Macaca mulatta: one gene and its partners. The protein of the gene in region 2 binds, or shares a complex with, the protein of the main gene of each other region. Links are inferred from orthologs where the notes say so. Each region holds a gene or a part of one and is shown on either strand. Other genes may lie near its edges. The genes, in order: MAGEA4, RAD18 and UBE2B.

What was found.
Region 1: the proteins of RAD18 (region 2) and MAGEA4 are in contact, whole or in part, in a crystal structure (PDB 9BD3), measured with the Homo sapiens proteins. The link is inferred for Macaca mulatta from reciprocal best matches to the Homo sapiens genes RAD18 and MAGEA4. Residues at the interface, in NP_064550.3 of Homo sapiens: Ser348, Phe350, Gln351, Leu353, Val354, Gln356, Ala357, Arg358, Lys359, Gly360, Tyr361, Lys362, Lys363, Ile364, Ala365; in NP_001011548.1 of Homo sapiens: Ser111, Val114, Asp115, Ala118, His119, Ser158, Lys160, Met161, Ile162, Ile204, Ile205, Gly208, Thr209, Met212, Glu224, Glu225, Val228, Met229, Gly230, His237, Val239, Tyr240, His290, Val291, Val294, Asn295, Arg297, Arg299.
Region 3: the proteins of RAD18 (region 2) and UBE2B are in contact, whole or in part, in a crystal structure (PDB 2YBF), measured with the Homo sapiens proteins. The link is inferred for Macaca mulatta from reciprocal best matches to the Homo sapiens genes RAD18 and UBE2B. Residues at the interface, in NP_064550.3 of Homo sapiens: Tyr342, Arg343, Lys344, Lys345, His346, Lys347, Glu349, Phe350, Leu353, Val354, Gln356, Ala357, Arg358, Lys359, Gly360, Tyr361; in NP_003328.1 of Homo sapiens: Pro20, Val22, Gly23, Val24, Ser25, Gly26, Ala27, Ser29, Glu30, Gln35, Asn37, Ala38, Val39, Phe41, Gly42, Pro43, Glu44, Glu49, Asp50, Lys54, Leu55, Val56, Leu73, Ser74, Asp151, Ser152.

Annotation. Positions count from the first base shown.
Region 1 is NC_133426.1:158,172,710-158,175,975, reverse strand, and holds the end of MAGEA4 (melanoma-associated antigen 4), read right to left. Parts: intron 1,911-3,266; 5' UTR 1,838-1,910; intron 1,763-1,837; 5' UTR 1,698-1,762; coding exon 744-1,697; 3' UTR 593-743; downstream 1-592. UniProt on the Homo sapiens protein: Regulates cell proliferation through the inhibition of cell cycle arrest at the G1 phase. Also negatively regulates p53-mediated apoptosis.
Region 2 is NC_133407.1:147,684,862-147,688,508, forward strand, and holds part of RAD18 (E3 ubiquitin-protein ligase RAD18), read right to left. Parts: intron 1,173-3,647; coding exon 989-1,172; intron 1-988. UniProt on the Homo sapiens protein: E3 ubiquitin-protein ligase involved in postreplication repair of UV-damaged DNA. Postreplication repair functions in gap-filling of a daughter strand on replication of damaged DNA.
Region 3 is NC_133411.1:143,290,009-143,294,376, forward strand, and holds the start of UBE2B (ubiquitin-conjugating enzyme E2 B), read left to right. Parts: upstream 1-1,518; 5' UTR 1,519-1,940; coding exon 1,941-1,984; intron 1,985-4,115; coding exon 4,116-4,196; intron 4,197-4,368. UniProt on the Homo sapiens protein: E2 ubiquitin-conjugating enzyme that accepts ubiquitin from the ubiquitin-activating enzyme E1 and transfers it to a E3 ubiquitin-protein ligase. In vitro catalyzes 'Lys-11'-, as well as 'Lys-48'- and 'Lys-63'-linked polyubiquitination.

The DNA of each region.
Region 1 (3,266 bases), on a different chromosome or scaffold from region 2:
TACTTTTCCTCTACATCTTAGAGGACATCTTGCCACCTTAATTATATGACTGCAGCTCCTAGATTCTAATACCCTATGGGTAGGTGTGTGTCTGGCTTACCCTAGTATCTCCACTACTAATCCTGGGTCTTCCACAGAGCAGATGCTCAGTGCATAGAGAAGAAATGAGCCAGTGAACACAGATAATTATTTATTCAGATTTAATTTTTCTTACATTCACGAAGAAGCCAAGGAAATCCAAGTATGCGTATATATTTTTTAAATTTTACAGAGTAGACTGAGTATGTATAAGGCAGGAATTAAGTATTTTTTAATTTCTTTATCTCACATATCTTACGGTGAATTCACATTTCTAAATAAATACTTACTCCACTGCTGTTATTATGTCCCAATTTACAAAATAGAATGGATTTCCCAATCTGAATAAAAAACAAGACTCTTACACCTAAACTATATAAACAGCAATATATGTGACTACGACTCATAAACTTGGATGCTGAAGTTCATTCAACCATCCATTAAAAGGAACATTTGAACAATTCTAAAAGGAAACAGAGATAAATCTCCAAGTCACCCAATAAAACAGAAACTCACTACTAAGAATGCTGACTACTCTCTTCAAACAGTGAAGAATGGGCCTCATGCTACACAAGGCAGGGGAAGCTGCTGCACAGGGCAGATGACTGGCCCAGCCCAGCCGCCACCCCCCCACCCCCGCCCCAGGCCCTGGCTGCAACTCATGCTCAGACTCCCTCTTCCTCCTCTCTCAAAGCTGCTTCACGAAGGGATGGGTAGGAAATGCGAACTCTTGCATTGACCCTGACCACATGCTCCAGGACCTTCACATAGCTGGTTTCAGCCAGGGCCCTTGGACCCCACAGGAACTCGTAGCGTGCAGGATCACTGCCGGGTACCTTCCGGTACTCCAGGTAGTTCTCCTGCACCCACTCTTGGGTGAGCAGTTTCCTGGGCTCCCCATAGACACTGTGCTCCCTCCCATCATACACATCCATCACACTCAGCTCCTCCCAGATTTCCTCCTCAGATGCAGAGTCGCCCTCCATTGCGATAGTGCCCAGGACGATTATCAAGAGGCCTGTCTTGGGAAAGATATGATTACCACCCAGCAGGCCATCGTAGGAGAGGCCCAGGCAGGTGACAAGGGTGTAGGTGTTGCTGGTGGGGTCCACTTCCTTCACATCAATGCCAAAGATCATCTTCAGGGACTCAGAGGCTTTGCCGAAGATCACAGGAAAGCAGTGCTTGTAATTTTTGATGACTCTCTCCAGCATTTCTGCCTTTGTGACCAGCTCCTTGGCTCGATACTTGAGGAGCAGAAAATGAACCAACTCATCCACCTTCTTACTGAGTGCTTCTCGGAACAAGGACTCTGGGTCAGGAGAGGTGCTTGGCCCCTCCTCTTCTTGGCTGCTGGAACCCTCATTGGGTTGCCTCCAGCAAGTGAAGTTGACGGTAGAGGGTAAGGCGGAGGCTCCCTGAGGACTCTGGGGAGGACCTGTTGACCCAGCAGCAGGCACTTCCTCCAGGGTGCCAGGGACCAGAGGAGAGGAGGAGGAGGCAGCAGCCTCCTTCTCCTCAGTAGCAGGAGCCTGCGCACCCACTAGGCCCAGGGCCTCTTCTTGGGCCTCAACGCCTTCCTCAGGCTTGCAGTGCTGACTCTTCTGCTCAAGAGACATGATGACTCTGGTCAGGGCAGCAGGTGGGAGTGTAGGCAAAAGCTGGGCAGTGGGGACCCACAGGCCTGGGGAGAGAGGGAGCATGTGAGAGGCCTCAGCTGAGAACCGAATCTTGGAGGCTCTAACAAAGGCTTACTTACAGATCTTCTCCTTGGTGCTCCTCTGTGATCTCCAAGGAATCCTGTCCTCCGGGTTGGCCTATCCCCTGAGAACCTAAAGGAGGAAGTGAGAGAGCACCTCAGGGTATAGCCGGCCAGCAGAGGTCGATTCTGCAGGACTAACAGGAGGTGAGGTCAGACTCTCTGAAGTTCCACGTGTCCTATGCCAAGTGGGGCCCTTGGTGTGCATTCAGGGCAAACATTCACTGCTGGCACAGCCTGTGCACCCTCTGCTCTGTGACTTGAGGACACAAGTCTCAGACCAAGGCCTCATTGCCTTGTTCCTGGAGCTCCTAGGAGATGAATCCATGGGCCCTTAGGGTGCCGACTATAAGCACAGCCCCAGTCCCTCAGTGCTATCAAGAGGGCAGGCTGGACTCTGTGAGGTCCCCACTCTCATAGAGTGGATGGTCCACTCTGTGGTCACTCAGGGCCCTCACATTTCTCCAGGCAGGGCCTGGATTCCACCGTTTTGCTGGCCTGAGAAATTCAGATCAAGCACTCACATGCCTGAGAGGAAACAGGACATGAGGGGCCCCACATCTGGCCACATGTGCCTAGGTCCTCTGAAGAATGACAGCAAGAGATGTCAAAATTCATTGGAACCCATGTGTCCTGGGTGAGGAGCCTGCTTGGTCCTCACCTCAACTCCTGGCAGAGCCTGGGACCTTCCCTCTACTGACCTGGGTGCAGCCCCTCAGACCAAGGCCTCCCCCTCCGTGACATCAGTGATCCCAGGACAAGAGAGGGACCTCAGCAGACAGCCAAGCCCATGCTCTCTGGGGTGACAACCGGAGCAAGGCTGATTTCTGTGGAGTCATCGTCTGCGTTCTGGCCCTGTGGTACCCTCAATCTTCCCTCACATTCCTCACCAGGACTCTTGGCAGATCCTGGGACCACTGTGTCTGTTGACCAGATAGAGGTCTGTGTTGACCTGAGTAACCCTCTGAGAACAAGGTCCTAACCTCACTGAGATCTGCAATCAGAAATGAGGAGCCACATCCTGTCACCCCTGTGCGGGGAGTCCACAGCTGACCCCTTTGGTCCTGGGGTGAGGGTTCTGATGGCCTCCTGTGGGTCACTCATGTTTGCTCCCAACGGGGCCTGCCCTTCCTCAACCCCCAACCCCCTGAGATGAGCAGATATTGCCCCTTTACTCCAAGACCTCATCTTCCTGAAGGTTCTCCAACTTCCTGCCTATGGTACAAGTAAGATTGGCACATAAGGCCATCCCTGCTCTGGTCCCCCCGAGCTAAGAACAGGGGACAGCCAGACTCTGCGGGGTCCCGTCTTTCTGAGCCACAGGTATCCTCAGACCATAGCCCTCTCCTCTCTGTGACCTTGAAGGTGCAGGAAGCATGAGCTACATGTGGCTACCTTGCTCAGGACCTCCCAGGGCCCAGGTCTCCAC
Region 2 (3,647 bases):
ATACCAAAAAAAATTAGCCAGGTAAGGTGGCACAGGCCTGTAATCCCAGCCACTTGGGAAGCTGAGGCAGGAGAAATGCTTGAACCTGGGAGGTAGAGATTGCAGTGAGCTGAGATTGCACCACTGCACTCCAGGCTGGGCAACAGAGCAAAACTCCATCTCGAAAAAATGAAAAAAAAAAAAAAGTATTCAATAGGAACAAAGGAAGAGCTTTACCATAGCATCAGGCACGTAAGTAGAACACTGGAAAAAATGCAGAGCTCTAACAGAAACTGAAGGGTCTGGTAATTTATGGTACAGAGACATAACAAAATACTGTACTCATTTAAAAATAACAATTATAAACATAAGGTATTATGTTGGTGCAAAATTAACTGTGGTTTCAATTACTTTTGTGCCAACCTATAGAAATGTTAACATTTATGACATAATATTAAGTGAAAGACCAGAACAAAAAATGGTATGTGTGCATGCATGTGTGTAAAATAAACCCTATATATTTTTAAAATATCTTTTCAAAATGACTCATTACCAAACTTCTCATTTTTAAAGTTTCCCCATCTATTTACTCAGTTAAATTTTTCATTTCTTAACTCTCCTATGTGCCATGTCTTTCTGATCATCTCTGTTTTCCAATACAGTTGTTTTTATCTCCTTCACTCATTGTCTTGACAAAAATTTCACTGCCTATCATGCTTTCTTTTCCAACGGTAGGAAAAATATCTATAAAAAGGCTATAGAGCCTTTTTATATCTATAAAAAGGCTATATAAAGCCTATACCAAACTCACCCTCTGATCCCTGTACTTCCTTCCCAAATCCTGCCTTGTTACCACTGTGAAGATGACCCAGCAGTAAAAGGGGACTGAAATGTAAGAGTGACACACCATACCATGCCTCAAAGCTACTTTCTAATTATTTCTGCCTAACTATCTATGTGTGCATATGAGGTAGATATTTAAAATAATCAACTCCTGCATGTTTCTTACCTATTGCATGAATCGGATTCTGGTGAAGAAAGAGCTTCTTGAATATCAGTACAGCTAGAAGAATCCTCTTCTCTGTCAGGTTCCAATTCCTCTGCGGAGTCCAGCTTTGATTGAGAAAAGTGGTTTGTTACCAGCTTTGATTGAGAAAAGTGGTTTATTACTGAGGTCATATTATCTTCCTGTCCTAGGAAAAAATAAATTTAAGAGTACGTTAAAATCTACAACTTCTGTACGCCTATTACTTCTGCAACACTTAATACTACCATATGCACTTAGTAAAGTTGAAGAATATGTCACATTGATTCCAGAACTCTAGTGACAGCCAGAGAGCAAGAATTAACACTACAATGGTGCTACCTAATTATACTATCCAGCCCATGTTTTTCCAAGATTAATTAGTTTAAAAATAAAATTTATTTTAAAACCAGGAGCAGGAAGAATCTTGTAATTCTAATGAGGCATCTATTAACATATCACTGAGGAATTCTTGCATATTTCATAGATCAGAGAACACTGACAAACCAACGTAAGATATATAACCAAAAAAAAAAAGACTACAGATTCAACTAATAAGACAACCACAATATATGTCACTACTATATGATAGTGAATCTATCTGGACATTTTTCTAAACCTGTTAAATAGAATCTAATTATTCTCTATGGAAAAGGACAACTAATCAGACATAAGGAATATTTCCATTTGATCCAATATACATCACATTTCCATGCATTCTTTGTCATATTCTCAGCTTTTAAGGTCTCTTATTGCAGATAAAAATAAAGACCCCAAAAAGCTGGAAGGATGCAGTGTTTACAAAAATGTGGCATATGGGAATGGCCAATTTTCTACAAATATGAGCGAGAAGAATATCTGTGAAAGATTCTTTAGTGCCCAGGATTCTCCTACTCATCATAAACTCTGCTGGGATTTTCATCTGTGCTGTCCTTAACTTTCAGGAACTGAGGAGGTACTTTCGCATGTAAGCTACACGTGCTAATAATAGTACAGAGCTCCTTTCATGTGTTTCCTCACAGAGAAACAGAGCTTTCACACATCACTCCTCAAGCACTTGTAGAGGCAAGTGGTCTTCAACGAAGCACAATAAAAATACAATTGTCAAGGTTTGTTTATACAGAGAGAATTTATGGGGAAAGAACATAACACATTCTTCAAAAAACCTTGCCAAGTTCACACAGTCAAATTTTTTTCAGAAATAGTTCTAAGTTTTTGTTATAGCGGGAGAACAGCATACTTCACAAGAGTATAATTCCTAAAAATATGCTCCTAATGTCATCTGGCTATCAATAAACTATCATTAGCAAAACAAAACAGCACCCTCTAAAGTATATCTGGAAAAGAGAAAAAGAAGTTAGCCAGGATGACCATCCTGAACCTCTAAGAACTCCTCTTGTAAACAGATACCAGGATCACATTAAGAGGAGCCAATCCCCCAGTCAACTCGGTTCACCCAGGGACTATATTACTCAACTAGTGAGGCGCATGCAAAAAAGCTGGCAAACCAGGGAACAGGAATTCAACTGAAAACAATCTTTTATTTTTGCACATTGTCTGTATTCTTTTCTTACTTCTTCCACTCTTACATACACTTCTAGACAATATATTCCTTCTTGGGGACAAACAGCATTCAATAATCTGTAGGCATAAAAAATAAGTTATCCTTCCTACCTGCCCTTAGATCTCAGAATGCAGGACTTCAAAATAGAGCCTCAGGAGTGAGGCTCAGACATCAGAGCTCCCCAGAGACACACAACAAAAACAGGCTAAGTTTTCACTTGAGAGAATATGCAACTTGTTCACTTACATGAGCACTTCAATGTTTGTCCTAAAGAGCAACAATTATATCGGTTGTATGATGCTATACAAAATTCATCTTTTTAGTCAGTCTGTGTCTGTCTTCACCTCTCTCACATTCCTTACCCTCTCAGACATCTCATTCATGCACAGCAATCTAAAAGCAGCAATCACCTTTGAACCCCAGAAAGAGTAATACTGATGTTCATAAATACATACAAGCCATCAATGATATTCAAGAGAGGTTCAACTAATAAAAAAAAGTTTTCTTAATGGGAAATATTCAGTCAGATTTTCTCAAGTGCTAAACTAGTTTCTAAAAATATCCTTTCACAATTGCATGAACAAGTTCGATTTGTTCAAAGACCATGAGTTACATACTGAGGCAGCACCTTATGCACAAATTGTTTATTAGTCACTAGGGAAATGCAAATCAAAACCACAATTACATACCATTTCACATCTACAATTTTAAAAAAATTTAAAAATCAGAAAATAACAAGCGTTGATAAGGATGTGAAGAAACTGGAACCCTTATGCTTTGCTGGTGGGAATGTAAGATAATGCAGCCACTACGGAAAAGTTTAACAATTCCTCAAAAGGTTAAACATAGAACCAGTATATGAATCAGAAATCCCACTCTAAGCTGAAACTTAGATATTTGAGCATCAATGCTCATAGCAGCATTATTTATAATTACCAAAAGGTGGAAATAACCATAACAGATAAATGGATAAACAAAATATGGCATATACATACTACAGAATACTGTTTAATCATAATAAGAAATTTTAAAATATGCTACAACACTGATGGACTCTGAAAGCATTATGCTTAGAGAAAG
Region 3 (4,368 bases), on a different chromosome or scaffold from region 2:
CAGGGTTTGAGACAGGGTCTCAGTGGCATGATGATGGCTTACTGCAGCTCAAACGATTCTTCTGCCTCAGCCTCCTGAGTTGCTGGGGCTACTCGTGTGCACAGAGACAGGATCTCCTATGTTGCCCAGGCTGGTCTTCAACTCCTGGCCTCCCAAAGTGTTAGGATTACAGGCATGAGCTAATGCCCCAGCTCATGAGGGATATTTTTAAGATATAGTTTCTATTTACCATTTTTCTCCATGTAACCCTGCCTGTGTGTCTTCCTCCTTTGCTATTGGAAGGGTTAGGACTGCAATGGCAGAAAAGCAAAAACATTAAGAATATTCAGCTTTTAACTTAGAAAACACATTGTGAATGTCTAACAGGACCTATCAAGAGTTAGGCCTGGCTAACTTGATCACTAAGGCAGTCACTGGAAGCTGAGAGAATTCAGGGTTTGAAGAAAGAGGTACAAGGAAAGTCGGAAAAGTTAACTCTGCTTCCATAGAACTAGGGGCAAGGTTGAGGCAATGCTAAGGTCCTCATTCCACCCTCCCTTTACCTGTTGAACCGAACAATTCCCCAAATGGATACAAAAGTACTCAGAGTCCTTAGTATAACAAAGTCCTGAAAGTAGGAATTAGCAGCAATACAGGGAAAGACAGTAACTACAAAAAATATTCAAGGTCTGTGGGAGGTCAACACCTCTGAACCCCCTGGTGGTGGGGGGGCACTTCTCGCCCATTTGCACCTTTCTTGCTAGTGTAAAAAACCTGAAGTTGTCTCAGGCTGGATAGATAACCCTCACTCAGGTCTGCTGGAGCTCTCCCCCACATATGAATCATATTTGTAGGTTTCTTTGACAACCAACCACTCATTGATATGCTTGGAAGACTGCACCCCCACATTCTTAAAAATACAATGGTACTCCCCCCCATAGGCAAGTCCCCGGACTCTGACACATATCTTCAATTGAAAGCAGACCCAGAAAGGAAAAACTGCATAATACACCATCCTTTAATGTTTGCCCAGAATTTCCAATACTAGAAACCCCACTGCAAAGCAGAAAGACTATTTGGTAGCTTCAAGGAACCATTTCAGGAGATTGTTGTGTGGCCCTCAGTATTCAATGCTGCCTTAGAAGATCTTGCGATCCTCTCTCTTCTTGCCCCAAGTACCAGAGTTCATAAGCCACTGAACCAACCAGAGGGGAGTTATTTTTGGTCCCGGTTTAAAGAAAACAAAACAAGCTGTTGATCCTCCCACGACCTCTTGGGTAATGTCTCTATACCTGTGATAAACCGAAAACAACTAATAAAGGTGTATCCAGCCCTCACCCTCTTAGACCCGCTTCACAGACCTGGCCGAAACTCACATCCAGGCGAGGCTCTCACGTGACCCGTTCTAAACGCGTCACAGGGACACGTGGTTCTAGATACTTCTCCCCCTCCCCCTCAGGGGTGGATTGTTGACAAGGCCGCGGGCAGTCACGTGATCTTACATCATCCCACCTCCTTTCCCTGAAATCCCTGGCCCGGATACGTCCTTCTTTCTCCACCCCGCCGAGCCTAAACTAGAGACGGGGAGGCAGACAGGATAGTGTGTCGGTTTCGTGGTCTCTGAATCCACAACCTCTAGTCTGAACACAGAGAACACAAATTTGTCGATCACTTCAGGAAGCCCAGGAAGAACCACGCCCCGCTGAAGGGCTCAGGGAACGCGCGCTCCCCCGTCCCGCCCCCTCCTCCCCCAGCACTCACTCTGTGGTAGCGGCGGAGGGCGGAGGGATCCGGAGGCGGCGGAGGGAGACGTCATTGCAGGGTTGTTTGTCAGTCTTGGCGGCGGCGGCGGCGGCGGCGGCGGCAGCGGCGATCCACAGTGATTCGGCCGCCGCGCCGGGGGGTGGGGGGGCTGCGCGGGACTCTTTTCTTTCAGACTGACCGCGGGGCAGCTGCGGAGCATGTCGACCCCGGCCCGAAGGAGGCTTATGCGGGATTTCAAGCGGTAAGGGCCTTCAGCTTCGCATAGATGACGGCCTCTCAAAGCTGCGGGGCTGCAGGGCGTGGATCCCGGACACCTTCCCCTTGTGACCCTCAGAGGGTCGGCTGTGGGCCCAGGGGGACTGGCGGAAGCCGGGTCCTACCTCGGCCCCTACTCTCCTTATCCTTGCCGCTCGCTCTGGCGCCCGAAGAAATTTCGATACTGCTTCCCCTCCCCCCAAAAAGTAAAACGATGTCGATCGACTGGTCTAGGGTTCCCCGCTGCCCATTTCGGCCAGCTGCCCGGGGTCTCGTCCAGGGGATCAGACGGGGATCAGACATCATCCTCCCGCCCCTGCACCCTGCGGAGACCCTTTCTTGTCCCCTCAAAGTGAGCTCCCGCGGGAGCTTGTTCTTCTCCGGCAGCACCAGTCAGCTTTGTTTCAAGGCCCCTCAGTCTTCTCCGAGGAGCCGGGTTGGGGTGAACCTCCCCAGCCCCCCACCCCCGCCAGTCCTTTCCATTTCTGCCGTGAGGGTGGGGTCCAGTGCGTGAGGCTCGGAGGTTAACCCATCCCCCGAAACCCGACTCTGTCCCCGCCCGCCTGAAAAGACCTTGGGAACTGACTTAGAGATCTGGGACCTTAGAGCTGGCCACCCCGGCTGCCAGTGCCTTCTGGAACTCAGATCTGGCTGGTGAAGAAAGCCCTATCTATAGCCTCCCGAGTCTGGAAAAATGCCTTCCCTTAGACTGGCGCTAATTTGATACTCCCTGGGCCTTCTTTGGTAAATAAAATAGGGTTTTGTTAGGAGGTATTGGGGTTGTGAGGAAGAAAATGATTATTCCGTTAGTTTACCTTTTATTGGATACTTAGAGACGTAGAAAAAACAAAATAACGTAGAAAAAACAAAATAAGTGAGAAAACATTTTGATATTCTGCACATTTTTCTTAAAATTTTTTCTGGGGACACCTACCCTAATTGAACAAAATAGCATAAAAACATAGATTTGTCGCTCAGGAAGTCACCTCTCAGCTATTATAAAGCCTATGTGAGGCATTTGGATTTGGCCAACTTATTTAATTCATTCGTAGCTTCTCTTAGCCATTTAAAGGTAGGCGTCAAGCAGTGCAGTTCTTCTAAGGCTTCTGTTTGTGGTGGCCTAATTTGCTTGAGATTGACTAAAAACCTTTTTTTTTATGTGGACTAGTTGCAAATTATGATGCCCCATGAAAACAACTCCATATGTATTTGTGAGTGTGTATAATGTAGCATTTTTAAATTGAGGTTACAGTCTCTGAAAGGAGATGCCCTTTTTGGTGCAAAAGTCATTTTTCTAAAGCTTGAAATCAGTGTATCTGATTAGCACTCATGACTAAAATTCAGATAGTAAACTAGTTCATGTCATTGTCGCCCTGGCTCCTTACTGTAATGCTCTGCTTAATTCTGAGTTGAATACATGGCACCTTTTGTAGTTTTCCAGAGATCTATAGGTTACAAGAATTTGACTATGACGAATGTGGGAAAGCCTTGTATTGAGTCTCCTGATTTGAGAGGTAGATTTGATGTTAGTGCAGAGCCTTTAAAATAGGGACTGGCGGAAAACCTACTGATTACTTTTTAAAGCCATTGCTGTTTGAAGCAAAAGGGATAGAGTAAATCTGCTGCCTAATACTAGTTTCCTAGTTAAATTTAATGTGTTTTCAGTCATTTCGTGTTTACACTGAGGTTTGCTTTTTTTTTTTTTTCTTGTAGCCATTTTGCAGAAGTAGCCGTGGTTAGGATACACAGTCTTTGCATGTTTAGAGCAGCAAAATCAATGGTTCTGTAAAAATATTACTTGCTTTTGAGGTTTTAAACTTTTTTTGGTATAAGAGGACAGTCTATATACATCAATTCTTGAAGAGATACTCTTGATAATATTGAAAGAGGGATGATTCTCAAGCCCTTCGGATTTTTAGGTAATTTGGAGAGGTATTTAATAAGTATATATACCTGGTTAATATATCTAAGTCATATGGTTCATTTTAGTTCACAATAACAAGGAAATGGAGTTAGTCTGTGTCTCAAAATAGATGGTGTAGTGTCTGTAGGTGTTTATGTGGCCTCCTTAGTGGCCTTAATGTTCAACTTTTTAAATTACAACGCTGGATTTCTAGGTTACAAGAGGACCCACCTGTGGGTGTCAGTGGCGCACCATCTGAAAACAACATCATGCAGTGGAATGCAGTTATATTTGGGTGAGTTGAAAGGTTTAACAAATAATAGGTGTGTGCTGAATCTTTAAGAAAAGTGAACATATAACAACTGTCTAGGAAAAGAAACTGAGGTAGAATGAGAGATCTTAAGGACTAAAACTGCAAGATAAATTAGAAAAAAATTTTTTTCAATTAGAGTTTTGGCCCAGCACAG